4 linked regions of the Rhinolophus ferrumequinum genome follow. The protein of the gene in region 1 interacts with the protein of each later gene in a biochemical or structural test. Links are inferred from orthologs where the notes say so. Each region holds a gene or a part of one and is shown in the gene's direction. Other genes may lie near its edges. The genes, in order: RB1, ABL1, CCND2 and AHR.

The links.
Region 2: the proteins of RB1 (region 1) and ABL1 form a complex in vitro, tested with the Homo sapiens proteins (3 studies listed by BioGRID). The link is inferred for Rhinolophus ferrumequinum from reciprocal best matches to the Homo sapiens genes RB1 and ABL1.
Region 3: of the proteins of RB1 (region 1) and CCND2, one has a biochemical effect on the other in vitro, tested with the Homo sapiens proteins (4 studies listed by BioGRID). The link is inferred for Rhinolophus ferrumequinum from reciprocal best matches to the Homo sapiens genes RB1 and CCND2.
Region 4: the proteins of RB1 (region 1) and AHR form a complex in vitro, tested with the Homo sapiens proteins (2 studies listed by BioGRID). The link is inferred for Rhinolophus ferrumequinum from reciprocal best matches to the Homo sapiens genes RB1 and AHR.

The regions. Positions count from the first base shown.
Region 1 is NC_046287.1:89,097,655-89,105,397, reverse strand, and holds the start of RB1 (retinoblastoma-associated protein), read left to right. Parts: upstream 1-4,039; 5' UTR 4,040-4,225; coding exon 4,226-4,350; intron 4,351-7,213; coding exon 7,214-7,340; intron 7,341-7,743. UniProt on the Homo sapiens protein: Tumor suppressor that is a key regulator of the G1/S transition of the cell cycle. The hypophosphorylated form binds transcription regulators of the E2F family, preventing transcription of E2F-responsive genes.
Region 2 is NC_046295.1:78,885,321-78,892,967, forward strand, and holds the start of ABL1 (tyrosine-protein kinase ABL1), read left to right. Parts: upstream 1-4,470; 5' UTR 4,471-5,747; coding exon 5,748-5,883; intron 5,884-7,647. UniProt on the Homo sapiens protein: Non-receptor tyrosine-protein kinase that plays a role in many key processes linked to cell growth and survival such as cytoskeleton remodeling in response to extracellular stimuli, cell motility and adhesion, receptor endocytosis, autophagy, DNA damage response and apoptosis.
Region 3 is NC_046293.1:86,595,368-86,603,629, reverse strand, and holds the start of CCND2 (G1/S-specific cyclin-D2), read left to right. Parts: upstream 1-4,736; 5' UTR 4,737-5,009; coding exon 5,010-5,204; intron 5,205-6,981; coding exon 6,982-7,197; intron 7,198-8,262. UniProt on the Homo sapiens protein: Regulatory component of the cyclin D2-CDK4 (DC) complex that phosphorylates and inhibits members of the retinoblastoma (RB) protein family including RB1 and regulates the cell-cycle during G(1)/S transition.
Region 4 is NC_046303.1:21,922,898-21,931,015, reverse strand, and holds the start of AHR (aryl hydrocarbon receptor), read left to right. Parts: upstream 1-4,875; 5' UTR 4,876-5,533; coding exon 5,534-5,598; intron 5,599-8,118. UniProt on the Homo sapiens protein: Ligand-activated transcription factor that enables cells to adapt to changing conditions by sensing compounds from the environment, diet, microbiome and cellular metabolism, and which plays important roles in development, immunity and cancer.

The DNA.
Region 1 (7,743 bases):
AGTTCATGGTTTTAGCATTTTGCCATGAGTTATGGCTATGAAGTCAATCGCGGGAGGTTTATACTTCTGAGTAAAATTAGTACAAACACTTAAGTCTTCAATTCTTTGGGATCACTTCTCCAGTCATTATTTGGTTTACTACTATTATTACTAACCTGCTACTGACATGTTTTTTCTTGGCGAAACAGGACAGTGAGGTTTACTTTGCCATTTATAATTTAGGGTTAAATTAAAACAAATGACACAAATTTTACTCCCCTATTTAGTTATGAATTTCAAAAAAACAGGCTGATTAAAAATTAAAATGACTATAAAAATTGTAAGAGTAAATAAATAGATACGTTTTCACTCACTTTTGGGTTACAGTTGACTAACCTTAAACTTTCTTTCCTTATAGTGGTCCTTACTATAGCACATGACAAGGACACAGACATGCTACCCGCAACTCACCACACAAGTCACAGAACACCTGAACTGTTCTATACTCTGTCTAATGAGAGGTGTTCAATGATCATGTGCTTGGATAGTGATGAAATGTCAAATTGCAATAAATGCTGCTAAGCATTTACTCTTAATTTCTGCACATATCTCCTTCTGGACCAAATGCAAGCAGTTTGCAAACTGGCACTGGTCCAAGGACCACTAGTAGTGCTGCTCTAGGGAACCTGCACTGAAGAGACTGGGAGGAAAACTACCGTGTTTCCCCGAAAATAAGACCTAGCCGGACAATCAGTTCTAATAGTCTTTTGGAGCAAATATTAACGGAAGACTGGGTCTATAATAACGTAACATAACATAACATAACACAACACCACATCTTATATTAATTTTTGCTCCAAAAGATGCATTAGAGCTGATTGTCTGGCTAGGTCTTACTTTCGGGGAAACACGGTAGTGGAGGAGTGTCGTAAGTAACAGAAGGGAGGAGGAGAACAAGCAGACCATGGATTTTTGGAAGACTAGGGAAATTTTCAGAAAGAGGAAGTGGATAACTGTGTTAACTGCCAGAAAGGTTAAGTACGTTGAGGACCAAAAAGAAGCCATGACTTGACATTTAGGACATCGGTGACCTTTGAAAGAGTGATTTCAGGAGAGTGCTGGTAGTGGTGGTAGAAGACAGTCAGGCACTAGAAGGGAGACGTTTGGGGAAGTAGAGAACGAATGGGGACTACCCTTTCAGCAAGCTAGATGGTAAAGAAATGGAAACAGTGTGGTACCTTATGAGTGAAAAAAAAGTCGAAGGAAGAATTTTTAGATGAGGGGAAAAACTATTGACATCACTGAAGGGGCCTCAAGCTGGAAAAGTTCCATTCCAGGTAGAACATCTAAGACAGATCTTTATTTGGTCTTAATGGCAATCTTAAAACTACTATGCAAATGGAGGAAGATCAGAGGAAGCTTCTTTTAAGAATCTGCAGAATTTGTATTACTTCTTTGGAAGTGCAACAGAAAGCTGTGTGGAGATGCAAGGATTTTGATTGACTCAGTTGCTCCTGAGCTGTGTGTAAGGATTCTAAATGTAGTAGGGAACAGTGAAATTAATTCATGGTAAAGATACACACCCTTTTGTAAATTGAGAAATCCCTTTTTGATTTATCATAATTGTGGTAAAACCAGATGTTGATAAACTGAGATTAATAAAGCAAGTCTTATCTGCCTATGAAGAGCATTTACTCCAGTCCCCAGAACTTTCCTGTGCTCTCCTGCCCTCCCCACTTTTAGCAAACAAGCATTTACTGTGTGTCCAACACCGTGATAGGCACTAGGGCTACAATGATTTGGTCTCCATCCTGAAGGGGCTCATTAGAGAAATAGTGTAACTTACGATGCTTTCTGGTTAAATCAGAGGCTCAGTTATGTTACTGAGGACATACTTTTTTTTTTTTTTTGACATTTCTACTGTACCATCCTTAACATTTTTGCTTTATTCTCAAGTCAGCTTGTCTTACGTCACAATGGCAGCAGCAATTGCAAGGGTCGCATCCTCATAATAGTTAAGGAGTAGAAGAACTGTGTCATCCTGTATCTCATTTTAGCAGGTTCTTAGCAGACTATCTGTGACCTTGGAAAGACCAACTGCATCCTGAGCTCCTGCCTACACTAATCTTGGGCAAAGTGAACAGGATTACCATTTTGACGGGAGTTGCTGTATATAGATGGGGCTGGGCATGGATCCTACCTCTTGACAGACTTTTGGTCCCCACGTGAGGGTTTCTGATCTTAGGCAGATATCGCTGGCTTACAAATATACTTTGGCTGTTGAGTAGGCTGAGGACTGACAACCCCTTTTAAATATTGGCATACATCATGGTATACACAGAAAATGGGAATTCATTACCATCTACTCACTTCTGTAATAAACCCAAGAGGCTTGTAGCCGTGAATTGCCTGAAGGTTTCTGCTGCCTCAGCCCTGCTCAGCTGTTCCAAGGATGAGAGGATTCACATCAGAGCACACTGTGTCTTATTCACAGCACCTCAGCTGGGAAGTTCTGGCGAGGCAATCCTCACCATCTACCAAAGAGAGAAAAACATGTACTCAATCTAGACAATCTATTACAGTAAGTATACACCAAGTGACAGAAAAGACACAATTTCTAAGCCATTATTTGATGGTGGTAGTTCCAGCAAGCTCTTCTTTGTTGTCTTTGTGCGTTTGCACATGCTGCTTCTCTCTTTTTGGTGTTTTATCAATGCAATGTAATGGATGTGTAGAGTCAAATCAACCTGGATTCAAATCCTCTGTCACCCATCAGCTCTGAAATATTGGGCAAATTAACTTCTCTGAGCCTGTTTCCCATTGGGTAAGAGGAGTAATACTAAGCACTACTCGTTTTAAAGGATTGTTTTTGAGTATTAAGTAAGATAATTATGGCCAGCACAACCGTGGTACCTAATGTTAACCAATAAAGATTTCAGGCTGTAAAACAAATTAAATGTTTATTCGCGGGTCTTAAAAAAGAATTCGAATCTGAAAGACCCAGATTCAGGTAGCAACCCAAAACGGGCTCTGGACAGAACAAAGAGATAGGGTTTATAAAAGCAAAACGACAAAGTGTAATTCTTTCATGCAAATAGAGGATTGTCGGGTAGGTTACAGGGATTGGTTAATTCCAATATGCAAACGATGGAGGCAAGAAACCGAGAAGGAAGGAAGCTAAGTCTATATATATGTCTATGTAGCAGTTACTGTTCCAGGATGTTTATGGGTGGGCCTTCTGCTGAGTTTAGCAACAGGTTTAGCAACTTAATCGCAGCTCTGAGAACTGAAGCACAAGATGTGTAGGGTCCCACATCCCTAATAGCCTCCTGACTATTTTACGTGACTCTCTCAGCAATGCTCATTCTATTTAATATTTTCCCCATTATCAATACTAAGCCCTCCTTAAATGTTAGGTCTCCCTGGCAAAATTCTACTCAACTCCCACTGCTCCTTTGAAGATGTCCTTTACACAGTTTGATGGTGCCTCCTGTTTTTACACCACTATTAACACATTTATCACACTATAATGTTATTTACCCACAGTCCCCCTCCGTTTCTTACACGTGATCCCTAAAAGGCCCGTAATTGTCCTACAATTCGTATCTCCTAGTGGTTGGCAGAGTTCGCTCCCATTAGATGTTCCATAAATGTTTTTGTTTTGGCCAACTTTGCTTAACGGATTGGGCGGGAGGAGTGCGGTGGAGACTGAGGGTGCCGCCCACGGAAGAGAGGGGGGTGCTCGTAGAGGGTGCAGTAGCCTGATATTCCCGGGAGGGCCTGAGCGGCACCCCCTGATCCGCCCATAGATGGAGATGCGGCCCAATCTCCCCCACCAGACTGTGCAAAGCCCCGTTACCCGCACCCATGCCTGGAAGCGGGAGACAGGTTCAGGCGGCGACTTCGGGGAAGGCTCCTGGACGCAAGCCCGGACTCCCCGCCCAGCCCAGCCCGCCCGACCTCCCGTCCCCACCCAGCGCAGCACCAGGCGCCCCGGTTCCCTCCCGACGCCGGCGGGCCCGCGAGCTTCGCGGACGTGACGCCGCGGGCGGAAGTGACGTTTTCCCGCGGTTGGACGCGGCGCTAGGTTGCCGGGCGGGGGAGGGCTTGTCCGGTTTTTCTCAGGGGACGTTCAAATTATTTTTGTAACGGGAGTCTGGAGAGGACGGGGCGTGACCCGACGTGCGCGCGTCCTCCGTCCCGGGTCCTCCTCGCCGCTCGCTGGCTCCTGCTCGGGCAGGGCGTCATGCCACCCAAAACCCACCGGAGAGCAGCCGCCGCGTCCGCTGCCGCACCCCCGGCGCCGCCGCCGCCCCCTCCTGAGGAGGACCCCGACCAGGACAGTGGCTCCGAGGACCTGCCTCTGGCCAGGTGAGCGAGGAGAGCCACTGCGGCGGCCGACGCGGGAAGGGCGCCCCGAGGATGCGTCTCGGCGGGCGCCGCGGCGTCTGGCGGGGGCGCGTCTTCGCCGGGGGCAGGGTCCCGGCGGAATGAGGGTCCCTGCTTGTCCCCCACCGCCGCGGAGCGCCTGGAGGCGGGTGACAGGGGCCTGGGATCGGGAGCGACGGGAGGGCAGCCGGGAGGGGTCTCGGCTCCAGCTTGACAGGTGTCGGGCGGGTGGGGCTCGGGTCCCTGAGCGAAGTGACAGGTGCCGCCTTTCCTCCGCGGGACGGGAGGCTCGCAGGCGGCGGGTAATTTAGAGGCCCCATCAAACGGAAAAAAAAAAAAATAGTGTCTGGTGGAGAGTTTTTTCCTGTTGAGATTTGTAGTACTCCGGTGGTCTTAGACTTTCTGTTTTGATCTCCTGGGATGCAACAGTTGGAAGTGTTTTCCTCTGGGCGTGCAACTCCAGCTCAAGCCCAGTTCTGGGAAAGGCCAACCAGAAAAGCCTCGGACGTTGCTGCAGAGACGCCATTGGACGTGAAGTTCAGGGTCCTGAGTGTCAGTTTGCCTCCAGGGTACTCGGCTGAGGTGCTTTGTACGGTTCTCCTATAATAATGCCTTGAGGTCTTGGGGATACAGAGCCATCGTAGTGACTGCTGGAACGTAACTTTAGAGGAAATGGTGTATGGGCAAAAGTCTTGTGAGACATGTAGTCTAAGTGCTTAAAAGGGTCTAAACTTTTTTTCTTTTTTCTTAAAACTGAATGTGAGTCAGCTTCAGCATGTCTCATTATTTCTTCCATTTTGCCTCTTGGCTTTGAGCCAGCAAAGGTCCTGGTGTTTCCCCCCTGCCCTTTTTTTGTTTGGTTACAAAATTTGTGTTCTTGTGCATACATGAAACTTTTTTTCCTAAGTGGAATTTAAATTTAAGAAAGTCCATGATATTGCAGTAGAACACGACAGGAAGATATTTATTGTATTGCAACATCTTATTTTTCTTGATTGTGGTACTCTGTGGTTAAGAAGTTAAGATTGAAAGAGTATAATTGTCATTATTGGGGGCACTGGTCCTACTTTCAGACTACATGTCCATTGCAAGCAGTTGGGACTCCTTTCTGTCCCTCACCACTCCCTCCCTTGTTCTAGTCCATTGCCAAGTCCCATTTCTTTCACCTCCCCAGACACTAACAGAATTCAGGCCAAATTGTAAAAGATTGGAATGGGCTTTTGGAAAGGGCCCGTGAAAGGCTATTAAAAATTCATATATTTCAAAAGACTGTCTTATGGGTCAGTTAACATCATACCAGTAAAAAAAAAAAAATTCTGGGGATGTTCTGGGGGAGAAGACATTATTTAGCTTCTGATTACACTGTGATGTATCCAATACTTGAAAGTTTCCCTTTGGAAAGAGCAGTCAAGTCTACTTTACTAAAGTGTTCCATGTTATCCACAGACCTTTGGAAACAGTCTCGATTATTGTAAGGTAACCAGAAATATTGAAGTTCTGGCCATCACCTCGGACTTGGTTTCTTTTATTCTTTTCAACACCTTGTTTTGCATACCTTTAAATGATGGAAACTCATTGTTTTTTCAACACCTTGTTTTGCATACCTTTAAATGATGGAAACATAAATTCTCCTGTAAGTCAAAACCATACAAGATACAGTTTGCTTTTGATTATCCATACACACAAAAGGTTTCATTAGCATGGGCAATCGAACTCTATAGATGAACTACTTAGCAAGGATAGCACCACTGTCTGGCAGTCTGCAGCCAAGAAATTTACTTAGGGATGGATTCGAGGCCCAGTCCAACTGCACTTCCAGTGACAGAGTCCATTTCTACCTTGACAGTTGAGATCCTTCTTTTACATTATCTCTGGCCTGAATGATGTAGTTGGGAGGGAAACCCTCACCAGTAACTGCATGTTATCTTCATTGTTGAAATAACCAAAGTTAATTATGTCTTGAAGGATGGTTGGCAGTCTGGAATAGTGCTCAAGGGAGTGGGTTATGAAGTTAGGCTATTGGGTTTATATCAAGTTTTCCTACTTACTGGCTGTGATGTCAGGTGAGTGCTTTAACTTCTCTGATTTGGTACTTACCTGTAAAACAAGGATAGTAAGAGTAGTTACCTAATAGGACTAATGTGGGGATTCAGTAAAATTATGCATCTAAGCTGCTTTGGTGGGGTCATGGTAAAAACTCAAATTGTTAGCTGTTCCTCATGCTATTATACATGCATTACTTATACAGTATTATACATACTATTAGTATACAAAATTATTAGAGCTATTCCTCATAATATTAGATGTCAGATAGACATTAAAGGAATGAAAAGGAATTAGCCAACAAGAGTTTATTGACTGCATATCTTGGTTAAGGAAGATCTAAGAGCAAAGGCTGAAATGAACTTAGCAATAATTTGTGTCAAGTTAATCATCATGTAAGAAATGTTAGTAGGTGGAGAGATTATGTATATGAAACATTGATAAGTGTAGACTGTATTTTAGCAAAGTCACTGATAGTGAATTGATTCTGTAATAATGGGCTTTTCTCTTGTTGTTATCCTTATTTTACCAAACAGCTTTAGCTCTTGTGTTCACTTCACAAAGCTATGATCAGGCCAGCAAACATTTTTCACTGCATGGCATCCTTATTTTAGAAAGACTATGAAAAAGATAAACATGTTTAAATTCTAACTGTAATTTTTTTCGAAGATAAATAAGATCCTAAAGTATTTAGAAATGCTATCCTTCAGAATAGTGCCATTATATGCAAGCCGTTGAAACAAATGTCTATTAGTTTTATTTGTAAGTATGTGCTTATTACATGTATATTTTCATTTGGTAGGCTTGAGTTTGAAGAAACTGAAGAGCCTGATTTTACTGCATTATGTCAGAAATTAAAGATACCAGATCATGTCAGAGAAAGAGCTTGGTTAACTTGGGAGAAAGTTTCATCTGTGGATGGAGTATTGGTAAGGATTTTCCTAAAATTTTTGGCATACATTTTTCTCACTTTAAAAATAATTTTGGATTACTGTAGAGAATTTGGAAAATAGAAAAATATGAAGAAAAGGAAATCTAGTAATCTATTACCCAGAGACAATTTACCTCCAATAACTTTTTTAAAAAAAATCCTCATATAAGCCCCCCATCAAAGCCAATCTTAGATATATTTTATTCATAAATACTTCACTATGATATAAAGAATTTTTTTAAAAAGCCATGCCTTATAAAATAATTTTTAATGTCTTCAAATATGCAGCGAGTGTTCAAATTTCCTGAAAGTCTTATAATTGTTTTTTTTAGCATTCAGGATCTTTGATGATATTTTGATGTGTTTCTTCCATTTTTTTTTTTGCATGTGTGTATGTGTTT
Region 2 (7,647 bases), on another chromosome or scaffold:
CAGGACTGTGTGTACCTGTCTGGAGTAATTCTTGAAAGTGAAGACCCTGATTTGTGGTCCTGTGTGGGGCTCAGCAAAGCCCTGGGACTGGGAGACTCATCACTGGACCTACGTCAGGTCGCCTCCAGCCCACAGACCTGCTTTCTTATGTTCAAAGGCAAAGCCTGAGAGAGGTGAATCGCACTGCTGGCCCCTGGGCCTGCCTGCAGATCCCGGCATTAGGGTTATTTGGGGTCTTTAAAAGCTCGCAGGGTTCCAGCTGAGTGGACTCCCTTCCTGGAATAATACGGCAAATCTTTTACTCTCCATCAATTCACAAGGCACAAGGCCCCGTGAAATTGCCCCTCTCAAAACATGGCCGCCCTGACCCCCAAATTGTCTGTTTTGGCTTCCATTCCCACCTCCTCTACAACACAAATACAACATTGAAGAATATAGTTGATAAACGTAACCCAGCAGTCAAATAGAAGAATAAAGGCAGCCAAGCAGCTTTCTGCTTGGCTGGGTCTTATTTCCCATTGCATGCTCCCTTGTCGGGATAGATACAACTATACCTACACTGGCTGCCTTAATCTGTCCTGCCTGTGAGGGTGATTTGTAAGAAGTTGAATTATTGGTAATAGAATGAATGTTTTGGGTGCTCTGATAAACATGAAATCAGAGTAGGAAAAATGGAGATGGGAAAAGAAAAGCTAGTGTTCTATAATTGAAGTAGTAATGCATTAACTTTTGAATAATTTCAGGTTGAAAGATAAAACCAAGCTGCTGAAGTTCTCACTGGGAATGCTAGAATTTGTATGCATTGGTTTTTTGTTGTTTTTTTTTTAAATTTTTTATTGGGGAATATTGGGAAACAACAGTGTGTTTCTCCAGGGCCCATCAGCTCCAAGTCGTTGTCCTTCAATCTAGTTGTGGAGGGTGCAGCTCAGCTCCAAGTCCAGTTGCCGTTTTCAGTCGTTAGTTGCAGGGGACGCAGCCCACCATCCCATGCGGGAATTGAACCGGCAACCTTGTTAAGAGCTTGCGCTCTAACCAATTGAGCCATCTGGCTGCCCCCCTATGCATTGGTTTTTGACGTCTAAAAAATGGTTTCGATTTTGGAAAACATTTTTTAATGGCACTCTGTGAAATGCAATTTTATTTCACATGTGAACCATTTTTTTTATATTTATAAATGTGGCGTTAACATTACTTTCTGTTCTGTGTTCTTTATAATTCTTGGGAGAAGAGTACAGTTGGTAGAGGGCTAAGCAGATAGAAATTCTGCCAGAGGCTCTAACCATTCTACCTGTGTCAGCTATAAAATTTAGGACAGTTTCAGTAGTAACGTTGAACCCTGCATTTGACAGTTTTGAAATGCAGCATGGCTTTTGTTAAATGGTATATTTTTAACGTTACTCAATAGACAATTTTTTACCTCATTCTTTTTCTGTCCCAAAGGTATCAGCTGTTTCGAGGATTTTGCAGACAACTGAATATTCTGTAGGCTGTGTTGCAACTTTAGACCTGCTCACCTGTCATATTTTTGACAACACGTGCCAGGCCGTATGCCTCATGAGAGAAGGGAATGGAAAAGGATGCCTGGGTCCCGGGTTTGGTTTGGTTTTCACCAGGGCCATGTGTAAATTTGTGGAAAGTTATCCTTCTCACCTGTTCTCTTCCCAAGCTGCTTACCCATGCTGTTCATTCAATATCTGCTGAATGGTATCCACTAAGGGGAAATAACAAAGGAAGGTCTGTAAGCACTTTTTAGTGATTATTTTTTGTGGCCCACTAGAGGGCGCCCTTGTTAAGTATTCCAGCCGATGGGAAAAAATGGAATCAACTGAATGGAATAAGGGCAGATCACACAGGTACTGAATCCCTTTAGCAACTTGATTGATTGCTTTGCTTTATAAAAGTGAGGATAACATTAGACTGAAACAAACTACTTTTAATAAAAAGAATATATGAACGTGAGGAATTCAACATTCGGAAACACTGAATTCTGTCAGGCATTTGTCGGGCTCTGGATTCTAGTTTTAAGTCCTTAAAAATATCCTTCTGCAGTGTTGTATGGGGAGTAAAAACGTATAGTACATCTCCAGAAATGGAGCCTGGGCTTGGGGGCTCACCTAAAATTAGAAAATGGGGGAAGTAGAAAATGGAGATTTGGGATAAGTGTTTAGATAAGTGCAGCTGGCCTCCAGACTGACTTTCAGGAAGCATAATTTCATCTTTAATTGTGGAAAACCAAACAAGATCTCATTTGACCCTTATGATAACCTTGTAAAGTTGGCATGTATGACCTGCCATTCGGAGAATTCAAGTGACTGGATTAATCCCATTAGCACCTGTGAGTGAGTGAGGACTAGGTTTCAGTTCTAGAGAGGTGTCAAAATGATCCTGCAGAGAGTGGGTCAGACTCACTGAGAAGGGATACAGGTCTAGGAATTTTATTTCCACCATTGAGACTGACACTTTGGATTGTTACTCATTTTGCTTATTGCCTGTTGCTCCCTCCATGTGTGCTCTGGGAGGACGAGTCCTGTCCCCTCCCCCCACTGTGTCCCAGCACCTAGGACAGTGCTTGCAACACGAGCTCAATAAATGCTTGTCGAATGAATTGTTCAGGAAATGTGTATTAGAGTTTCTGGCTGGATTGCCTGATTTTAATCTAAACTAGAGAATGAAGAATGAAGATGAGCAGGAAATGATTAAAACATGAATAAAAATAAAAAAGCAAGTCTCCAAAAAAAAAAAAAATTAGGGTGGTAAATCAGGATAAGACAATGGGTAAATAAAGGAACAAGGGCGTTGAAGTTTTCAGGGTGATATACAAGCCAGGACCAAGTTTATCGGCCAGACTTTTGTGAGAGCAAAGTTCAACCAGTTACCATCTGAATATAAATTCCAGTTCTGAATCTGGGCACAGATTTTCATGTGCTCACGTTCACTCCCTCCAGGTGACTATTTCTTCTTGAAGCCTACATAAAATCACACCATTTTCCAATCCAAAATACCTAAGTCAAGATAACAATGTACAAGATCTATAATACGGCTGTGGTTTCCCCCTAATATCATTAGCAACTTATGAAAAAATCAGTTGTCTAACATTACGCTGACTGTTATTTGATACTGAATGGTTATGGTGGAAAATCCATGGGCTTTGGATCAACACCAATCTGGACTCAAATCCTGACTTTCTAACATATTAGGTAAGTGACCTTGAGTTAGGTCGAGTTTCTGACTGTTTTCCCAGCTGTCTAATGGAGGATGGTATTACATGCCTCATTGGGCTACAGTGAGGATTAAATGAGATAATACAGTTTATGAAAAACAATTGCGTGGTGTAGAGGAGGCATTGTGATGAGTGATGAGTGATTCCCCTTAGAAACTCGTATATTCTTGTCAGGTAGGTGCACCGCTCTGGGGAGACGTGGAGAGTTAGGAATAGGGAAAAGGTGAATTTTAGTAGCAGAAGATGGGTTCTGACGGGGGTGGGTTTGTGTCCGCGTTATTGGCTAGCTCTGTAGGCCTTACACAACAATGGACATTTTCCCGGCCAACACAGGATGTTTTCAGGTAAATACATGTACACCTGTAAAATGAGGTTTAATTGTAAAGGTTCCGTTCAAAATCCATGATTGCGCCTGGCTCAGCCTCCGAGAGGTGCTTTAACAAATGCTGTTTCTCTAAAGAGAGGCTCCTGATGCCCCAAAGAAACAATGAATTCTTTAGCAATATGTCGGATGCTTTCCAGTCATTTATTTCTCGCTAGTTCTAACGTTTATGCTTCTTGGGAAGAGGTGGAAATTTGGGGTCAGGGAGTGGGCACCAAATACCTTGGTCTCCAGCGGCGAGCTAAATTTTCTCCCTTAAAAGAGGCTCAAGGAAGTAATCCAACTCCGGTTCTGAGAAAGTCCAATCCGCAGTTTTCCCCTTGCTTTGGCTCCTCGCGGGTCTTACCCGCGCAGTGGAGACATTGGCCAACCCTATGCAAGGCCGGCGAGAGTCCACCGGCTCCCAGGAGGGCGGGACCGAAGCTCAGGAACCGGGAGCAGAGGGTAAGACGTCTCGGTGCTCACGGACAGTGGCGCGCACCACCGGACCACAACTCCCGGCATGTCCTGTGGGCTACGCCGAAAGCAGTTGGCTGGGAGCTGTAGCCCTCCTGCCCTCATCAGCCAATAGGACTCAGGCGAGAGACCTGACCCGGATTCTCGGGGACCAATGGTAGTACAGGGGAGGCGGGTGCTGCCTCACTACTCACCTTGCACTCGGAAAGACCACATTTAAAAGGTCGTCTGGGGCCAGGTTCTGGCGGGCAGGCAGACTAAAGCGGGAAGGCCCGGCTGCGTCCCTAAAAGCGGTGTCAGGAGGGTCCCGGTCTTCGCGAGGCGCGCTGCGGACGTCGCCGGGGGCGGGACCAGGGGCGAGCCTGGCCTCGTTGTGGAGCGGCTCGTATCCATCATGGCGTCGCGGGGGTCGGTGTTCGTCCCTGAGCAGCGCTGGAGCCGGAGCCGGTTCCCGGGTCTTGCGGCTGAGGGAGCCCCTCCGTTGTCCACGGCCCCTAGCTGCGGGGGGAGGCTGGGTCCTGCGGCGAAGCTCGAGGGATGTGACTGCCTGGCGGCGGCGGCGACGTCCGGGGCCGGGGAGGGGTGTCTCGGGCAGAGACCCCCGGGCTCGGGGCAGCTGAGGCGGCCGGGCTCCTCCTCCCCCCTCCGCCGCCTCCCGCTTTCGGAGCCGCGAGAGCCCTTCGTCCCTTACAGCCCCGCCCCGGCTCTGGGACCCTGGGGGTGGTCTCTGTTTCCCCCAGACCTGGGACACCCGGTTTCCTGAGGCGTGAAGGAGCGTCGCCCCCGAGTAAAGTCAGCCGACCGTGCCGCGCCCCGGCAGCCTCCCTCTTACCTTCGAGCCGCCCCTCTCTCCGACTCCCGGCCCCAAGTTTGGCCTCGGAGCCCCCCATTCAAATCCCCTCCCTGCTGTCAAGTGGGCTCCCCTTCCCCCCAGGTTGCTCCGGGGAACCTCAAATGCCCTGACTTCTCCCAATGTCACCTACGGCCCCCCTGCTCTCAGCCCTGCCAAAACTTTAATGCAAAGGAAAAGTCTGGACTCGTTTCACAGGCCTTTAAAAAGCGGACTTAAAAGTTGCTGGCCATGCATTCCTTTTCGTCCGAGTCGAGGGCAAACTCGCGCTGAAGCCTGGGTGGACCCGTGTGCTTTTCCGGAGAGCAGGCTAAGAGGAGCAGGAGCGGCAGCTAGTTCGCAGGAGGAATTTGTCGGAAGATGAAGAAAGTAGGGGGTGGGTGACTTCCACAGGAAAAGTTCTGGAAAAGCATCCAAAGCCGATCAACATTTTCTTTATGTGGGGGAGTCAAAATGACTTGAGTATTACTGACCCTTTCACAGCACCCCCTGTGAACATTCCTGTTTAGGTTTTTCTCCTCGAAAGGAAAGAAATTGTTATTCAGCCAGTAAAAGACACGTAAAATCAAGAAACTTTTGGGTAGCTTTGCAATTACATTACTTCAAATTGCTAAACTGCCAAAACTAATCGGAACTCCTGTTTACATATGTCGGCCTAAAAACTGCTTCCTTCGGTTATGGAAGGTGTGTTTTTTGGGATTGACCTCAGTTACTGACTTGTGGAGATGCAGTGAATGTGAAATCCCACATAAACGTATATACAGTTGTCCTCCCAAGCTCGCTGATCATTCTGAAAGATCTTGAACCCTCTTCTGGAAAGGGGTGCCTATCCTTACTTTATGGGGCAACAGCCTGGAAAAGTTCTTGGGGACCAAAGAAGGCCAAGTTTGCCTGCCCTGCACTTTATCAAAGGAGCAGGGAAGAAGGAATCGGCAAGGCATGGGGGTCCACACTGCAATGTATTTGTGGAACATGGTGAGTGCTTTTCAAGCTTTCTGGTCACATTCTGCCTTCCGTGTTCAGCTCTAGGAATGCATAAGGAACTTGAGCAACAGCGCTTGTGTCGGTTCCTTCCAGGTCTTCTTAAAACTTCTGTTACTGTGGTTATCTCTTAGTTTCTTTGTAGAAGAAAAAGTTACTTGGTGACTTGCACGGCTTTATTCAATTTTTTTTGAATTGCTTATTTCTTGCCGGATTCCCCTTCTGACTGTTGACCTTGGACAAGCCATTTTACGACTCCAGTTTCCTGAGGGGTTGGACTTAAGTGATTTCCCCAGGATCCATAGTGCGTGATTCTGTTCTAACATGAGACATGGGCTCTTCCCCAGGCGCATGGATCCTCTACTACTTTATGCACAGAGAACCTTTATCATGTCCTTAAACTCCTAAAGCTTAAGAGCCAGAGATCCTAGTTGACACTAATATCCTTGACCGTTTCAATCATAAGAAAGATTTGAAAACACTCACTTTGCAGCTAAGTGGGAAAAATCAAGTGGGGAGGCAGCATTCCTCATGAATGAGGGTACCCCACCTGGAGATATTTTACCTTATGCAAGTGATACTCCTTTCCCCATGGATGGAGCTTTCCTCCTCTCTCCCCGTTTTAGATGACATTTGGGGCAAGAAAGGTCGTCTGACATTTTTATGAACATAGTTGGCACTTGAATTCTGACAGTGTGTGTTATACTATCACTTCCAGTAATTCTGTGTGAAGTTTTCAAGCTAACGGCCAACTTAGACCAACGTCTATACCAGCTGGCTGTGAACCAGTTAATTAGGGTTTCCTTTGTATTGTTGCAGCCTGACATTTTTCAGACTGGGTGCTTTATGTTAAAATATTGGTTGAGCCCGCCCACCCTATAAGCAAATGTAAGATGTGTGCAAGTGGCATATACTTTGAAATTCAGTCACAAATACCTCTTAACAGTGGTTGACTACAATAAACAAAGGTCTCTGTTCAGTGAACTGGCATTTGACAGTGGAGGTTTGACTTTCTTACAGAAAAATATTCACCTCATGTAAATAATCTGGGTACTTGGATTTTATTTTAAAACTTTAAAACTTTTAGTTGTATTTTAGCATTGGTTTTAGACAGGCAGTTACGGTAATGTGTTATGTTCTGGTGCTTCCCAAATTCAGCATTTATAAAGTGAATTATTTACATTTTTATCTATTAGGTTGGTGCAAAAGTAATTGCGGTTTAAAAGGTTAAAGAGGGGCCGGCTGGGTGGCTCAGGCAGTTAGAGCTCCATGCTCCTAACTCCGAAGGCTGCCAGTTCGATTCCCACATGGGCCAGTGGGCTCTCAACCACAAGGTTGCCAGTTCAATTCCTTGAATCCTGCAAGGGATGGTGGGCTCCGCCCCCTGCAACTAAGATTGAACACAGCACCTTGAGCTGAGCTGCCCTGAGCTCCCGGATGGCTCATTTGGTTGGAGCGCATCCTCTCAACCACAAGGTTGCCGGTTCGACTCCCGCAAGGGATGGTACTGGACTTGGAGCTGAGCTACGCCCTCCACAACTAAGATTGAAAGGACAACAACTTGACTTGGAAAAAAATGCTGGAAGTACACACTGTTCCTCAATAAAGTCCTGTTCCCCTTCCCCAATAAAATTTAAAAAAAAGGTTAAAGATAACTGCAAAAACCGCGATTACTTTTGCACCAACCTAATAGTTGTGCTCACAGAGGCTTAGATAGTAAAAATTAGTACAGACTTTCTGGAGAGCTCTGGCCAAACA
Region 3 (8,262 bases), on another chromosome or scaffold:
GCGGAACTGGACCACAACCCAAAGAAATAAGCCTTTTCCGGAGTTAAGAGCTGCTCCCGATTTTAAAGTAAAAAGTAAAATAAAATAAACTCTTTGCGGGGGGGGGGGGGGTGGTGAAAGATGGCGGGGGCCGGGAAGGTCGGGGGCAGGGCCACCACTTCGACTCGCGGGCGAGCGAGCACAGCAGCCTCCTCCAGCCCGCGGGCCGGCTGAGCCAGCGACACTGCCGGGTCCGCGGCTTGTGCGCCCACCGCGCGGGGCCGGACACGCAGCCGCCGCCCTGCGTCGCTCCCCGCCCGCCGGCCCCCTCCCCCGCCGCTTCCTCTAGCTCTCCCAGCCCCTTCCCCCACGTGTGGATGACGTCAAAATTCCGCGAAAAAGCCGCGTGGTGGCTCCCCGAGCGGAGGCGCGATTCAGCCGCCCAGCGGCCCCCTCCCCGGGCGCCTGGGGGAGGGCGAGGGACCCACAAGGCCCGTTCCTTTTCCTCCCGGGGGGGCAGGGCCCAGCCGACGCCGGGAGCCAGACGCCCCCCGCCCCAAATCATATTGGAAAATTCACTTTTATAAAGCTAATGCATTTCCAGAGCTATTTTCGGCCTCGTGAGGCGTGTCCTGCAGCTGAATCAGACAGGAAGAGGGGGAAGTTCGGGTCTTTTTACGTTTTTTTTTTTCCAAGGGAGGGGCGTAAGATGCTAGGTGGGTGAACAGACGGCAGGCGCAGTTCTTCCTAACCCACGCCTATCGCATCTGCCGCCCCAGGCACACAGCCCCGGCGCAAGCTGCAGCGCGCCGCAGGGGCAGTCTGAATGCGCAGGCCAGGCCGGCCTGTGCCCCCGGCTGGAGCCCCAGGACGGGCGGGGGGGGCGGCGGCGAGAGGGCCCCGGAAGCTTATTCACACCTGGAATCGCAATGCCCAGGCTTCTGGGAGACTCCTGTCGGCTTGTTCCTACCCACTCCCGTTCCCTGTGTTCTCCAGTTGCCGATCTTTCCTTTTCCTTTCGCACATTTTTCTAGTTTGCTCTTATTCCCTTCCTATTGACCCCCAATTCCTCTTTCTGTACCTCCTTCTGTTCCTTTCTGATATTCCGGGAGCTCGCAGCCAAGACTGGGACACTTAGACATCCACTTTCAAGTAACTGTCGGGTTTTCGGTTTTGGTTGTCTGACCATTCATCCCTCAGTGGAGAAACATATACATAGTTCTACGCTTTGGAGGATGTAGGGGGAGGGCAATGGCCCCCATTCCTGAGCCTAAACTCACTCCCCTCCCCCAACACGGCCTGAGTGCTGGGACGCGGAGGGAGCCGGGCTCGAACTCGCGCGGCTCCAAGGTTTGGAGCCGACGGCGCGATCACCTGGCTGGCCGGCATCCGCCAGGTGAGCTTGGGAGTATGTATGCTTAGCGTTGCAGGTTCTTGCAGAAATGTACCTATAAACACACAACACCCGGCTGCACCCTGCACCTACAGGGTTTTGTACACTTTCCAACCGAAACTCCAGAACGCGGGGAGTAGGGGTGGGGAGCCGGCAAAGGAGGGAATAAAAGTCCAATAAAACTTGCGTTCGCTCAAGTTTATCACTGATCCTACAAAGGACAGGATAGTGTGGGGTGTTTTTTTTGCCTTGAGGGGTGCAAAGGGGATAAGAAAGAACTAACAGTCTTCTTTCTCCCTTCTCCCCCCCCCCCCAACAATGACCAGTTTTGACTTAAAAGCCAGAGCACAGGCTCTTCTTGGTTTTTCTCCATACCTAAGTCTACTCTCAAAGAAAACGCGCACTTTTGCCCAGAAGGCAACGTGCGTTTACCCGCGTGGCTCCGGGAGTGCTTTTTACCCAGCAAAATTAAGGATTTAACACACAGTCGGAGTGGCGACCGAAAGGGAAAACTCGGTTCCCAGTCCAAATCTCCCAGAGACATTCCTGCCAACCTCCGCACCCTTTCGCTCCCCACCCCGCGTGTTGGAGACTGAAACACGACTGGGGGACCGATTCGTGGCGAAGTTGATGTTCGGGAGCATTCCGTAATAGGAAGGGGAAGTGAACGGGGGAACTTGCAAAGGCCAGCCTGCCACGCGGGAAGCGTCCGAACTCGCGGATCTGGGTAAATTGAGACAGGGACATCCGCCCGCTCCCCTCCCCTACGCCGGCACCTCTGCCCCCCAACCCGCCGGAATTTCTCCGCGAAGCCTGACGGGGGTAAGGGTAGGAGTGGAAGGGGCTAGAGGGCCAGGGACTTGAGCGTTCGCCACCCAGGCTTTCTTCCCAGGGTGGGCGAGGCCCCGAGGACGACCACCCGCCTCTTCCCCGCCCTCCTCTCCCCTCGAGGAGACCCAGGGCTGGGGATGCTTTCCCTGCAGGGAGGTGGAGAGGAGACCGCGCTCGATTAGTTATCAAGTGATGTCAAGAGGCTGGAAGCCCTCGCCGGCTCTGTCCTTGCCTGTCGGGGTAGATTTATACTTTAAAAACACCTCTCCCCCCTAACCCCCCAGCAGCTTGCTTTGATCCATTCAAAGGTGGCTGAGGTGAAGTTTGAGTGATTCTTTTATGGGGGTCTTAAAATGTAACAATGTATTTACCCGCAGTGACTCAAAAGCTTGAGTCGGGAAGTCTGAGTAAAATCAATAGGTGATTGTCAGGGACCGACTCTATTCCGAGGAACACCGTACTCAGCTGGAGTGTCATCACTTTTGAGTTTGTCATCGCCGAGTGTTTCATTTTGAGTTTGCAACTTGGGTTTTTCAGTGAGCTTTTTTCCTTCCCGAAAGCTAATGGCTTCTACAGCAATTAGACATTTTCCTCGCCCGCCCCTTCCCTCCCCTTTCTATACAGGAGATTGGACACTAATTCCCGCGGCTATTGATAAGGTCGGAGGCGCCCGGCCGCTCCCCAGCCTCGCCCGCGGGTCCCTGTTCTCCCTCCGCCCAGCCTAGGCTTCCTTTTGATGTAGCGGGGAACACTACCAACTGAAAAAAAAAAAAAAAAAAAAAAAAAAAAAAACCCAACAAAAAAAAAAAACCAGAAAAAAAAAGAAAAGAAAAAAAAGTAATCTGCCCGGTAACAATCAGCGCGCAGTAGCAGGAGCCCCAGAGCCATTGGCTATGCAAATAGAGGGAGGGGAGACGGCGCCCCAAACTCTTACTCACCCTTTTAAAGCGATATCCCCTCCCCCCACCCCTTCCGCCCCACCCTCGTTTAAAGGGGCTGGCCCCCGGGCCTGAGTTAATCGCTAGCACCTCTGGTTTATTCACTGCCCGCCTTGTCTATTCCACCTCCCCCCTCCTTTCAAGGGAACAGAGTGAGCAGCTCACTCAGCCCGCGCCTCCCCCGCCCCGCTTGCTCTCGGGCCCCCTTTTTCGGAGAAGGAGGCACTCTGCGGACCTCGGTGTGTCCAGAGCCCGGACCCACGCCATGCTCACTGCACGTGTCAGCTCCACCAACACGCGGGGGTTCTGGGCTCACTCCCCTTCCTCCCAAAGTGAAATAATTCTGAAAGGCAGGGTGGGGGGGTGGCGGGAGGAAGGAGGTAAGGAAACGCCACCATATCCCCTGTGAAAGCAGCCTTGACCCGAGGATGCATTTGAGCACGTGTCATAGCCAACTGCGCGGGCAGCGTCTCCACCGCAGTCCCGCTCCGGGGGAGAAAGCCTGGCTGGCAAGTGAGGCGTGAACCCAGAGGGGTCGGCGAGGATGCAGGCGAAGGACCGGGGGGTGGAATTCAGGGGCCTTGGGGTAAAGGAAGGAGTGGTGTTGTTTGCGCAGGGGGGGTGAGGGGGAGCCAAACCTAATCCCTCCTTCGCCCCCCTCCCCTCCCCCTCCAGGGCTATTTCCTAGAAAGCTGTATCAGTGGCCACGCTCGCGGCAGACACCTCGGGCGGCTTGTCAGCAGATGCAGGGGCGAGGAAGCGGGTTTTTCCTGCGTGGCCGCTGGCCGCGAAGGAACCGCTGGCAGCCCTGCCCCCGGCCGCTGCAGCTCAGGGCGCCTCGCCTTGTCTCCCAATGGCGCCGTAGCGCCCCCAAGTACAGGACGGTTCTGCTCAGGGTCACATTCTACCACGTCGGAGAAGCCGCCCCCTCCCTCCTATCGCCCTCCCTTTCCTCGCCACACACTCTGCGGAGCGGGGGGGCGGTGTAGGGGGGACATTGTTCTGGTTCCTTTGATTGGGCTTTTGAAACAGCTTTGAAATGATCAGGAACATAAATATCAGGAACACAACCTTTATATCTGGGTATGCGAGGTTGCAATTTTCTAAAATCGCCCTCCTTGTTTTTCACTGAAGGGATCTATTTCTAAATTGTCTGAGCCCACCCCATCAAGTATTCTACCCATCATTCCTGAATCTTCAATACGTGGGCAGGAGTGATAGGATGGGTTTTGAAGAAGCCAAAGTTGGAGGGTCGTATTTTGGCACGATACATTACAGAGTGCGAAATTAGAGGGAATAAGTAGGAATCGGTGGGTTTTTTGTGGGTTCCCCTATCAGGGGCCCCTGGCATGCGGGGCTGGATGGAGGGAGAGGGCCTCGGAGAGCTAAGGAGAAGGGTGGGGGGGCGGGGGACCGCGTTTGAAGTTAGGTCGGGCCAGCTGCTGTTCTCCTTAATAACAAGAGGGGAAAGGAGGGAGGGAGGGAGAGATTGAAAGGAGGGGAGGCACAGGAGGGGAGGAAAGGGGGAGGAGGAACCAGAGAAGGGAGCGGGGCGAGAGGGAGGAGAACTGCCCAGCCAGTTTGCGTCACTGCCTCGGAGAGCAGAAGAGGAGAGGGAGCTGGGGAGAACGAGACAAGTTTGGAGGGGAGGGCAGGCAGAGTCGGCAGCCCCCGAGGCTCTCCTCTCCCACCGCCCATCCCTTTCCTCTCTTCTCCCCCAGCTCCTCTCTCTGCCCTAAACTTCCCCCCCCCCCCGAAAACCCCTATTAGCCAAAGGAAGGAGGTAAGGGGAACTCTCTCTCCTCCTTCCTCCCAAAAAACTTTTCCATTCCGGAGAGAGCAGGGACCGAGTGGGCACCCGGCTGGCCATGGAGCTGCTGTGCTGCGAGGTGGACCGGGTCCGCAGGGCCGTGCCGGACGCCAACCTGCTCTACGACGACCGCGTTTTGCAGAACTTGCTCACCATCGAGGAGCGCTACCTTCCCCAGTGCTCCTACTTCAAATGCGTGCAGAAGGACATCCAGCCCTACATGCGCAGGATGGTGGCTACCTGGATGCTGGAGGTAGGTCAGCAGACTGACGCTCGGTCTGTCCCCACCCGCATTCTCGGCCCCCACTCACGTAGGGACCCTAAAACTGAGGGAGGACAGCCTCCGCGCCCGCCTCCCGGCTCCCGTGTGCGAGGTTACCTCGCGCTCTTTGGCGAGACGCGTGGCTGCTTTTCTGTTCTTTGCAGGATGCGAGATTAACTGGGGGAGGGGAAGAGGAGGGAAGAGGAAAATCTGGGAGAAACGAGGCTGTCCTGGGGCGGGGGTGGGGGAGCATCCCGAGCGCGTGTGCCCGCATGTGGCTGCCTCTTCTTCCCACCCCCATCCCGACCTGCCCTCTGCGAAGCCCGGGTTGCTTTCTGTGCAGTGAAGAAGGGAGTAGGACCGTGAAATCGGTACCCAGAAGTAAAAGGCAGCCTCCCCAAAAGCCAGAACAAATTCGTCCTAGCCTCAGGTTCCCGCATGTGGTCGCGACTCCGCGTTGGCACTAAGGGGGGAGGGGGAAGGAGGAGGGAGGAGGAGAGAAACGGGGAATTCAGGAGCCCCGGAAGTCACATTGAAGAAATGTGTGTTTTAGGAGAACCCAAAAGAAATACTTCTTTACCCTTGCTCCAAATCTTTGCCGAGAGCAAGCCGTGTGCCCACGTATGCACAGCTCTGGACCTGCCGCGGTTTCGCCATGTTGCTTTGCAAAACTCTGGTTGGAAAGGCTGGAAAACGTCGCCCGCTCCCCTTCGCACCCCATTATCTCGGCCACCCCACTTCTAATAGTGCCCTCTCCCCCAACCCCCACTTCACAATGGTTACTTACAGTTTGGCTTTCCAGTTTCCTCGGTGCGGAGATTTGGGTGGGGTAGGAAGGGGGGGAGGAGGTGTGTGTAGGGGGAATATCGGGGCACCCCTAAAGGAGAGATCAGAGCCCCCGTGCCTCTCTCCGGCGGCTCCCGGGTCCTCATCTTTCCCTCAGCTCGTCACCACGTCCCCTAGTTTTCTGCCCTTGTGGGCCGCAGCCGGACACTCCCGCCGCGGCGCTCACCCCTCCAAGTTTCCCCTCGGGATCTAAAGCCCCAGGGGTCAAGATACAGACCTTTCTGGCACCCGAAACCTCCGTTTCGGGAAGCCTGGATCCTCCTTGGGGTTTTCACGCCAAAAGGGCTTTTCTAGGATATTTCCTCGATTTTTAATTATTTTTTGAAACCGTCCCCCCTTGCTCCGACTCCAGCCGCCGCGGCTGCGGCGCTCTTCCTCCTCTGCGCCCTCCCCCTCCCTTCTCCACCTCTCCCCACCCACCCCCCCAATAGCGGCGCCTGGGCCGCAGGGACCCCCCCGGACATTTTTTCTAATTGTCGGGAATGATAGAGCAGAGTCTGGGGGTCCGGATGGGGCCAAGAAGGAGACCCTCGGAGCTTCCAGAATATTTTTATTGATTTTTTGAAAAGATGACGAAATCCAAAAAAGAGAGTGAGTGAGTTAGAGTGAGCGAAAAAATGAGTAGGCAAAGGGAGCGGCGTGGGGCTGCGCTGCTACTGCGCATTTCTTTGCCTCTCGGTTTTGGATCTTTAATTCACCTCTTATTTTAGTTTCCTGGGGAATAAATACCACTAAACAGAGAAGCTATTTAGATTTACCCCAATTTCCTCATCTTTATTCTTACCACATATTCTACTCCCCTCCCCCTCCCTATAAAAATTAAATATTTTTATTTCCATAGATTGTGCTTTTTCACTTTTTTCTCTTTTCCTGATACTATTTTCTCTCCCTCCCCCCCCCCCAACTCTTTCCCACATTGTAGGTCTGTGAGGAACAGAAGTGTGAGGAGGAGGTCTTCCCTTTGGCCATGAATTACCTGGACCGCTTCTTGGCTGGGGTTCCGACTCCCAAGACCCACCTGCAGCTCCTGGGTGCTGTCTGCATGTTCCTGGCCTCCAAACTCAAGGAGACCATCCCTCTGACTGCAGAGAAATTGTGCATTTACACCGACAACTCCATCAAGCCTCAGGAGCTGCTGGTAACGACTGTCCCCTTTCTGCCTTTCATCTTGTCTCTCTTCACGCTGTCTCCTGGCCTCTTCTGCTTTTACCCACTGCTCTCCAAACAAATTCTTGGGATGCAAAATTACCCACCACTGGAATTTTCACATTTGTGGGAGATATCTCTTTTAAACTGAGGTTTTTTGTGTGTGTTCCTACTGTGTGCCAGACACTATGCTAAGAAGTACTGACTGAGGCTACATCCACGAATGAATAAGCTCTTCATGGAGATAACATTTTAATAAAATTGCAAATTTTCCATCACTGAATTCTGAGAAAACAGTTCCACTTTCCACATGACAGGAATGTGTTCACATGATAGGAATGTGTTGTGGTGTGTCCCCTAAGAACCCGGAGGTCAAAGGTAGTGACTTACATATTTATAAAGTCTAAAGATACCTGCACGTAGATAGCCATTCACTAAAGATCAGCTCACTGACTTTTGCACAAAGTCAAAATGTGGCCCTCATTGGAGGAAGCTGAGGCTTGGACTCCTGCCTCCAGTGGGGCTGTGACCTCTGTACAACCACAGGGGTCCTCTCTTGACTGGTTTCATGACAGCAAACCCTTTCCCCACCCAATCTAACTCTTTTTCCCTGCAGCTTCACACTTAGGACGTCCATGTTGCAGCAGTGGAATGGTAGAGCGGCTCAGCGGCCCACCTTCAGTGGTCTGCATACCTTTCTCTGCACTGTTCGGAAAAGGGGCCCCCCCCCCCGCTTACCGTCCTTTCCTCCTCTTTACTGACAAGGCCTCCACTGAGTCCGCAGGGCTGACTGGCTGCTAGTAGGACCGAGCTCTTTGTGAAAGGCCTTCCTTTCTGGAGCTGTGCTGCCATCTAGTGGCAGACATGTGCAAGGACGGGGGAGAATTGCCTAGAATGTAGCGGGGCATGAATGACTTCACCTTTGAACCGCTGCCAGATTTCGGCTGCTTCTGGTTTGCTCCGAGAGGCCCAGAAAGGTGCTTTCTTCTGGGAGATCTGCTTCCTTTAATAATGGTACAAGACGAGTGGTTTATACTCACATTCCGCTGTGAGAAGG
Region 4 (8,118 bases), on another chromosome or scaffold:
ATTGTGATAAACGTTCTATCTGTACGGAATGCCCTTCCTTCCCCACTTCACCTACAAAATGCCTAACCATGTCTCAATTCAGCTCAAACTTCTTCAGGACCACCTCCCCTAACCAAGTCAAATTCAACTATTACACATTCTCAAAGTACTCATTTTCTAGCACTTGTCACAGTTGCAATTACACATGTATTTGTAAAACTACTTGATTAATTCTTGTGTCTCCCGTTACAACATAAGCTCTAAGAGGGTAGGAATATGTCTGATACCACAGCAGTTCCCACAGTGTTTAGTATATGATAGGAACTAAAACACTTTGCTGAATGAAATGAATGAATGCATGTACTGTGACAGAATAGGTATAGCATTCATTCTGATTGTATTTCTTTATTCTAGAACAGCTATTTATAACAGCATTGCTAAAATGTATTTCTTTTTTTCATAATATTTAGCAGGAATAAGGAACCCATAGACATACTTCGGCATCTGAAACCTCAGAAAGCAATCTCACCTCAACTAAATAAAAGGATAACATTGCTTTTGATAAGGCAAGTCAAATATTCTTAAACTTTTATAGGCAAATTAATTGTTATAAGGAAAAAAACTCATGTTACTACATAAAAATTGCTAATAAAAAATTTAAAAATTTAGCGATGGCCACGAATCACACCTCGAAAACTATGTTCTATAATGCTGATATTAGGAGTAGAGAGTGATAGTTTCTAGAAAGTGGCAAGTCACTATACTACAACGATTAATTTTATTGACACACTAAGCAAAAATGTTAAGGGAAGTGTATGGTGTCACTATTAGAATAAAATGAATTCTAAAAATCTTATCAACATTCTATTTTAATCTTGGTTATACAAAGATTCATTACTTAACTAAGAATGGAATATAACAAAGCATTATATGATTTCTGGATAATGAAAATAATCTTAAAGTCAAACAGAATATAAGGGTATGTAAGTAGAACAAAATAAGAGAATGATTGTACCAAATAACCAAAAACCTTTAAAAAGGTGGATTTAATTACAGTGGCCAAGACATGGAACCAACCAAAGTGTCCTTCGATAGATGACTGGATAAAGAAGATGTGGTATATACACAATAGAATACTATTCTGCCATCAGAAAAGATGAAATAGTACCATTTGTGACAACATGGATGGATCTTGAGATTATTATTCTAAGTGAAATAAATCAGACAGAAGAAGTTGAGAACCATATGATTTCACTGATATGTGACATATAAAACTGAAAACAACAAAGGAACAAGACAAACAAATGAAGAAACAAAAACTCATAGACACTGAGAATAATTTAGTGGTTACCAGAGGGTAAGGGGGGAGTGGCGTGGTAGGTGATGGTAAACAGTATCAAATATATGGTGATGGAAGGAGAACTGACTCTGAAGTGGTGAACACACAATGTGATGTATAGATGATGTATTACAGAATTGTACACCTGAAATTATGTAACTTTACAAACAATTGTCACTCCAATAAACTTGAATAAAAAAAAAAGTGGACTTAAAAAAAAACCGCAACAACACTGAATTATTATAAGGTTGATTGATGAGACTTCATACATACTAAAATCTGGCTCTCTCTGAGGCTATCATTTTCCTAAGAGTTCTCCCAAATGGTGCCTAATTATTTTCTCTCATCACACATCCATGATACAGGGTTGATGTCCACCTAGTTCCCTGTTGCCACTTCCCAGAACCCTTTTACTTTATGGTCCTGTAAAATTAAAACAAAAGCCATCAACCCATCAACCACAAAACACACTATTCCTTTGTAGCTCATGTTGTAACACCCTCCTCATCACATCTCCTTTATCTTTCTGATCCTAAATTACTAGCCTACGACATCTCACCCACCATTCTCCTCTTCCCCAGCTTTTGTAGAGGAGTTCTCCGCAAACTTTAGGTACATTTGAATCACCTAGGAGACCCTGTTAAATTTAGACTATGACTCAGTAAGGACACCCAGAGATTCTGCATTTCTTATCACTCCCATGAGAAGCTGTGGACCACTTTGAAGAGTAAAGCACTAGAGAGTCTATTTCTGCTATTATCTAATCTACTATAATCCTAATTCTCTATTTCTGCTTTGGCACTTATTCCCTCCTGTTTTTAATATCTATGGTTCCTTTTCTGCTCCTTGTCTTTCTTACAGTCAGTCTCCCTCAACTATTTAAGCATCACGCATTAAAAAAAAAAAAAAAAAAAAAAAAAAAATCTAGTTTAACTCTTTACTCCCCCTAGCTACCATCCTAGGTCTCACTCTTTCACAGCCCAAATTTTCAAAAAAGAAATTGTGTTTGCCAATGTCATTTCATCTTCAATTCAATTCTGTACCCACTTCAGTCAGACTTGCAGGTCCATTAGTCCACCAACATAGTATTCACAGAAGTCACCAATGACCCCACGTTGAGAAGCCAAAAAAGACATTTTCAGTTCTCATCTTATTTGAACCTCTCAACAGCATTCAATACTGTTAGCCACTCCTGACATTTCTCTACCTTTTCCTCCATGACACAATAGTCCCCTTACTCTTCTGTTACCATTCTAGCAAATCTTTACAATCAGTTTTACAGGACCATAAACTTCTTCTATCCAGCTAATAGTACATATTGAAGTTCTTTGGGGTTCCATACTTCTTTTCCAGTATATATTCACACCCTACAATTTCCATGCTCTCAGCACCTAAATGCCAATGACTTCTGAATTTGTCTCAAGCTTATACATCTTTGTTACAAACCTGTATATTCTATGGTCTACTTAATATCTTCTCTTCGATGTCTCAAAGGTACCTCAAACATGAGATCCAAAGCTAAGTTAATTTCCCACTAGTACATGCCATTGTCACATAGCTAGATACATAATCCAGAAAACTATTATTATGTTTTTGACATGTCCTCTTCCCTCACTGTCATAAATACACTCCATTTTCGAAGACCTCCCAAATATCTATGGAATCTATTCAGTTTTCTCCATTTCCACAATCACCCATCCTAGTATCAATAATTGTCATCTCTTGGTTGGGCTACCGCAAATGGTTTCCTGAGGAGTGTTACTTTTATCCATTCCACTCTGTTGCTCCCTCTTTAATTTGTTCTACACCCTGCAGATATGGTGATATTTTTGAAACACAAATTTGATCATTTGTGCCTGTCTCTGCTGATCATACTGAACTTGTTTTAATCCTTCATACCTGCCCTCCTTCTCATTAAAGGGATGTTGCTTGTACTATTTCATTGGCTTGGAATGTTCTTGCTTTCCCTTCCTTTCTCCTACGATAGCCTACTTTATCCTTCAGACCTCAGCTCAATCATCATTTTTTAAGGGAAAGCCTACCTTTGCTTCAATGAGTAGGTCAGATTTATCTACTAGAAAATCATACTGAATCATGTACTTCTCCATTACAGTATTCCCCAAGAGCATGGTAAATTTCTGATTTGTTCACCATGGTCTCCCCACAATTCCTGGCACATTGGAGTTCCCCCGCAAACATCTATTGATTGAATTAATGTGTAGAGGGGATATCAGGTGAGGAATCCTGAATGGTATGGCATTTGAGCTGGTATTATTGAAGAATAAGGTGGAGGTAAATGAATTAGGGATATTGCAAATAACAAAATTTAATAGTTTTTGCTGGGGTATTTATATATAAGTGGTAGCAGAATTGAAAATGATTCATAGGTCGATCGGGAAAATGGTAACACCAATGAAAAAGTTTCAGCTAAAGAAAATGATGAGTTAATTTATTGATGCACTGAATTTGCAGTAACAAACTGACCAGGTGGAAACGGCTTGAAGACATTTTAAAATGTAGGAATGGATGTGGTATGAGATGTCACCCAGATATCTTGATCTGGATGCCCTTCTGCTCCTGACACACAAATATACAGTTAACCACACAGAAAGAGTCAAAAATCCTGGAAAAATTTGAGATTACTCTCTCTTCCCCTATTTCCTTATCCTTTTCTATCATCTGTATTTTCTCTCTTTTCTCCATTCCACTGCCACTTCCGTGGACTTGCACTGGATTATTTCAACAAGCTCCTAACTACTCTCACCGCATCAAATCTTGATCTCCTTGTAATCAATCTGGTTTGCACTTTCCTCCCAGGGTGACTTTTCCAAGACACCAGAAAGTCAATCTCCTAGTAAGTATCTAAAAGGCTTTCATTGCCTACAGAATAAAATTTAGACTCTTTACCAAGGCTTTATGATTTGATCCTAAATTCCTGAACTGCACTTCTAGCTCCTCTGTCCAACCATACCACACTACTTATTATGTTCCAATGCCTCATGCTTCCCTTCTTCCTTGCTTCCTTCTTTTCAACCTAATTGAAACAAAGTTATTCTGGCTAGGAAAAAGATATTGTCTAGTACACAGACCAAAAAAAAAAAAAAAAAACACCAAAAAAACAAAAAACGAAAAAAAGAAAAAGAAAAAGCCAAGGAAACTGCCAGCTTTCAAATTCCAACTCAAATGTGGGCTTCTGAAGCCTTCCCCTCTAGGAAAATTGAGGCCCACAGGTTATCTGCCAGTTTACTGTAAATCCTAGCCAAAAGTTAGCTGAGTCACTGTCTCTCATATAGGTGAAGTTAAGCTCACTATTTGCCATGTCTATCCTTTAGACAGTATAGCTATGAAGAACTTGGCTATATGTAATTTGTTGTCACATTTCTTTCCAGGCTCGAAATGTGGCCACAGAATCCTCCCCTTGACCTCAAGAAGATGGCTACGGAGAGACATCGTTACGTCTTACGTCACTACGTGCTGAGAAGGTGGGGCCCTCAAGGGAGGGGGTGAAGGGCGGGGCCAAGTTGGGTGGGGCGGGGCTAGAAGGGGCTGGGCGGCTCTAGAGAGAGAGGTCGGGGGCACTTCTGCAATTAAGCTGGTGCGCTCAGCGATAGGAGGACACGCCGGGAAGGTCCACTTGACATTCTGTCCCGGGCGCGTGCCCGGGACCACCGGCTCAGACCAGGCGCAGCTGCATAGCCGAGCGGAAGCTGGTGGCACCGGGAGTGGCGTCCAGAGCTCGAGCTCCACAGGCGGGAAGCACCCAGGATTGGGGAAGCCCCGGGAGCAGCGCGGCGGCGCCTCCCTTACCCAAGGACCCGCGACGACGGTCACGGGGCGCGGCGCCACCGTGCGCGATCCGGGCCGGCATTCCAAACAGGCGACCCAGGCTCCTCCTCGGCCCGGCCCGCCTCACCTGCGGGGCAGCGCCGCGCCGCCTCCGCGGCTGTAGACGGCACCTGCGCTGCGTCTCTCACCGGTCTCCGCCCGCCGCCCGCCAGGAGCCAGGCCCGGCGGCGCACCTGGACGCGGGGGCTGCGGGAGCCGAGGCTGAGAGGGCGCGGTGTCTTCCCGCCGCTCCGGGAGGACGCAGGTGAGGCGGGCGCGGCTTCGTGGAGCCGGGCGCCGGCCGCCGCGGCCGTCCCAGCCACAGGCGGGTCCCGGAGCCCCGGCCGTCTGCGCCCGCTCCCGGGGAGGAGCCGCCCGCGGTTGGGCACCATGAACGGCAACGGCGCCAACATCACCTACGCCAGTCGCAAGCGGCGGAAGCCCGTGCAGAAAACGTGAGTGTCCGGAGCTCGCCCTCGGTGCGGGGGCTGGGCGCTCAGGCGCGCGGGGGCGAGAGGCGGCCCCACCCCGCCCCCAAATCCCCGAGGTCTGGGGATTAGGTCCATTCCTGACACGAGCGGTGGAATCGAGATTTGGGGGCGGGTCGAGCGACCCAGGCCTTAGATTTCTTTCCCCCATTTTTTATTGTATGTTAAAAAATGACCCCCGTCCCCGGCGCGCACGAACCCTCTCACACCCCCGGCCATTTGCAGCTGTTTTCTGTGGTCCTAATTTGTTGACAGCTCTGGTCTGCCCTGTGGGGCTGGTGGCTTATTTAGCATAAACCCCTCTTGAAATCCCCTTCCATGTTTAATAACCTCTACGGTTAGAGGACGGTCATAATTCTCATTCCTGGTAAAGCGAGGTGTTTTAAAGAGCTGACCGTGTGCCACTGCAAGAAGGGAGCTCAAGTGCTTCTGAAGGTATTTCTTGGTCAGGTGTAATTGGCATTTCGTTGCACTTTTGTTTACTTATTTGGCAGTGATTTTGTAGGGCTCCAGATGGCCGTATCGGTAAACTGTATAGAGATGGTAGCAGGTGTGAGTGAGTCTGGTGGGCAAGGTCCAGTGGGGGGATTCGATTTTTCAGCTATCTTTTTGGGGAGTTCCCGCTTTTGCGGTGGTTTTAGGGTCTGTACAGTACAAAACAGATTTGGAACTGGACTTAGTGAAACAGACGTTTTCATTCTTGATATCTTTCTCTAATTCCCTTTTCCCCCTACTTCAAAGTTTTGTCAGTTCTAATGGAGCGATTCCAGACAGATTTTTTTGTTTGCCTTGGTGGGATATTTGTGTGAGATAGCAAATACTTTAAAATAATTTTTTTCAGAACAATAAATCCTGGTTGAGACAGATTTACTTTTGTGAGTTGGCTGTATTCATGTGTTTATTCCTTGTTATCTCTGAGTTACTTCACGTTTTTCAAATTTTCATAAACAATTTTAAGAACACATTACAGATTTACTCAGAGCAAACTAGAAGTGTGCATTTTGCCTAAAACTTAACTTAGACCACGAATCCAAACCAGAAAAGTAGTTTAAGCTTTATATTTAAATCCGCCAACTGGTGTAAGAGTTTAATTATTCTGGAGTTTTAACTTTCTTTTAGAATTTCAATATGAAGAGCATATTGAAGAGCATTCAGGTCTAGACTTGGCGTTAACAGAGGATATTCATCTATAAAATCGACTGATTAAAATTTAGAAGTCTTATGCTGCAGAGTGGCTGACAGGAATACTGCCGAGTCAGCAATTTTTTGTCTTGGCAGTTCTGGGACATTGATTTACAAACTAGCAAAAGTAGAGTGATTTGTCTAATTTGGCTTTGTCCTTGATGGCTAAAGTTGAGAGGCATTGCAAATGCCTATTCTATGTATTTATTAATACAGTAGCACACTTACCATAATTTATAATAGAGACATCATGGACTTTTTTTATATATAGTCAGAAAACTTGGAGATCTCCCTAGTGGATTTTTAAGTTACTGATTTTTTTTGTCGTGTGTTACAAAAAGGCTTAGATGACTTAAAAAAAAAAGTCATATACCTTATTTTTGTATTCATTTTTATAAAGTTTAACATTTTTGACTTATAGATAACATTTTATTAAAGATCTTCCCTTTACACATACTGCATTTTCCTTTTATTTTTATGTAAGCTGTATCTTTTATCTTAATATTTTAATATATTTCCTAAGACTTTAATAAAGTTGCATGTAATAATCTCTTGTAATACAGTGTTGCTAAAGCATTTTCCACATTACCCCTATTTTATTTTATTTAGTATAGATGTTTATCAGATATTTATTGTGCACCATGCATTGCTTCTAATCATATAAATGCCTTAAAATGTCACTTCATTGCTCCATAAGAAAAGCCTAGTGCTGGCATTTACAGAATCACATGAAATTGTTTACAAATTAGTTTTGCCTGAGTGAAAAACGGTTAGCTTTATAATGCAGTTAATTAAAGTTCATTTTAGGAATGCGGCCATAAAATCTAATATTAAGTTTAACATGGATATTTTTAAGTTAAATTACTATTTGTAGCTAATGGGGTCTAAAATAATGCCAACATTGTCAGAAAAACACATCTTTGCACTGAAAATGCTTTTGAGATTTAACTTTGACCTCTTAAGTGAAAGCTATTTTATTTTACTTAAAGAGAGAATATGTTGTAGCATAATTATAGAGCTGTTGATAAGACAGCCATCTAAATATATAGTTCTATAAAATTTTGGAATCAAGTCGGTTACATAATTTTAACCTGAAGCTCTTCCAGTCAATCTTCAATTGAATTAATTAAACAAGATAAACTCCCTCTAGTGGCAAGTCTAATATTGAGAATTACCTTCATTAGTAGGAAATACATCTTAAATATGTTAAATTTAATCCCACTAAAGTATGTTGTATATAGTAGACACTCAGCAAATGTTTCCTTTGTCTGGGAGTAATAAAAGGAAATTAAAGGATCTGAAGCA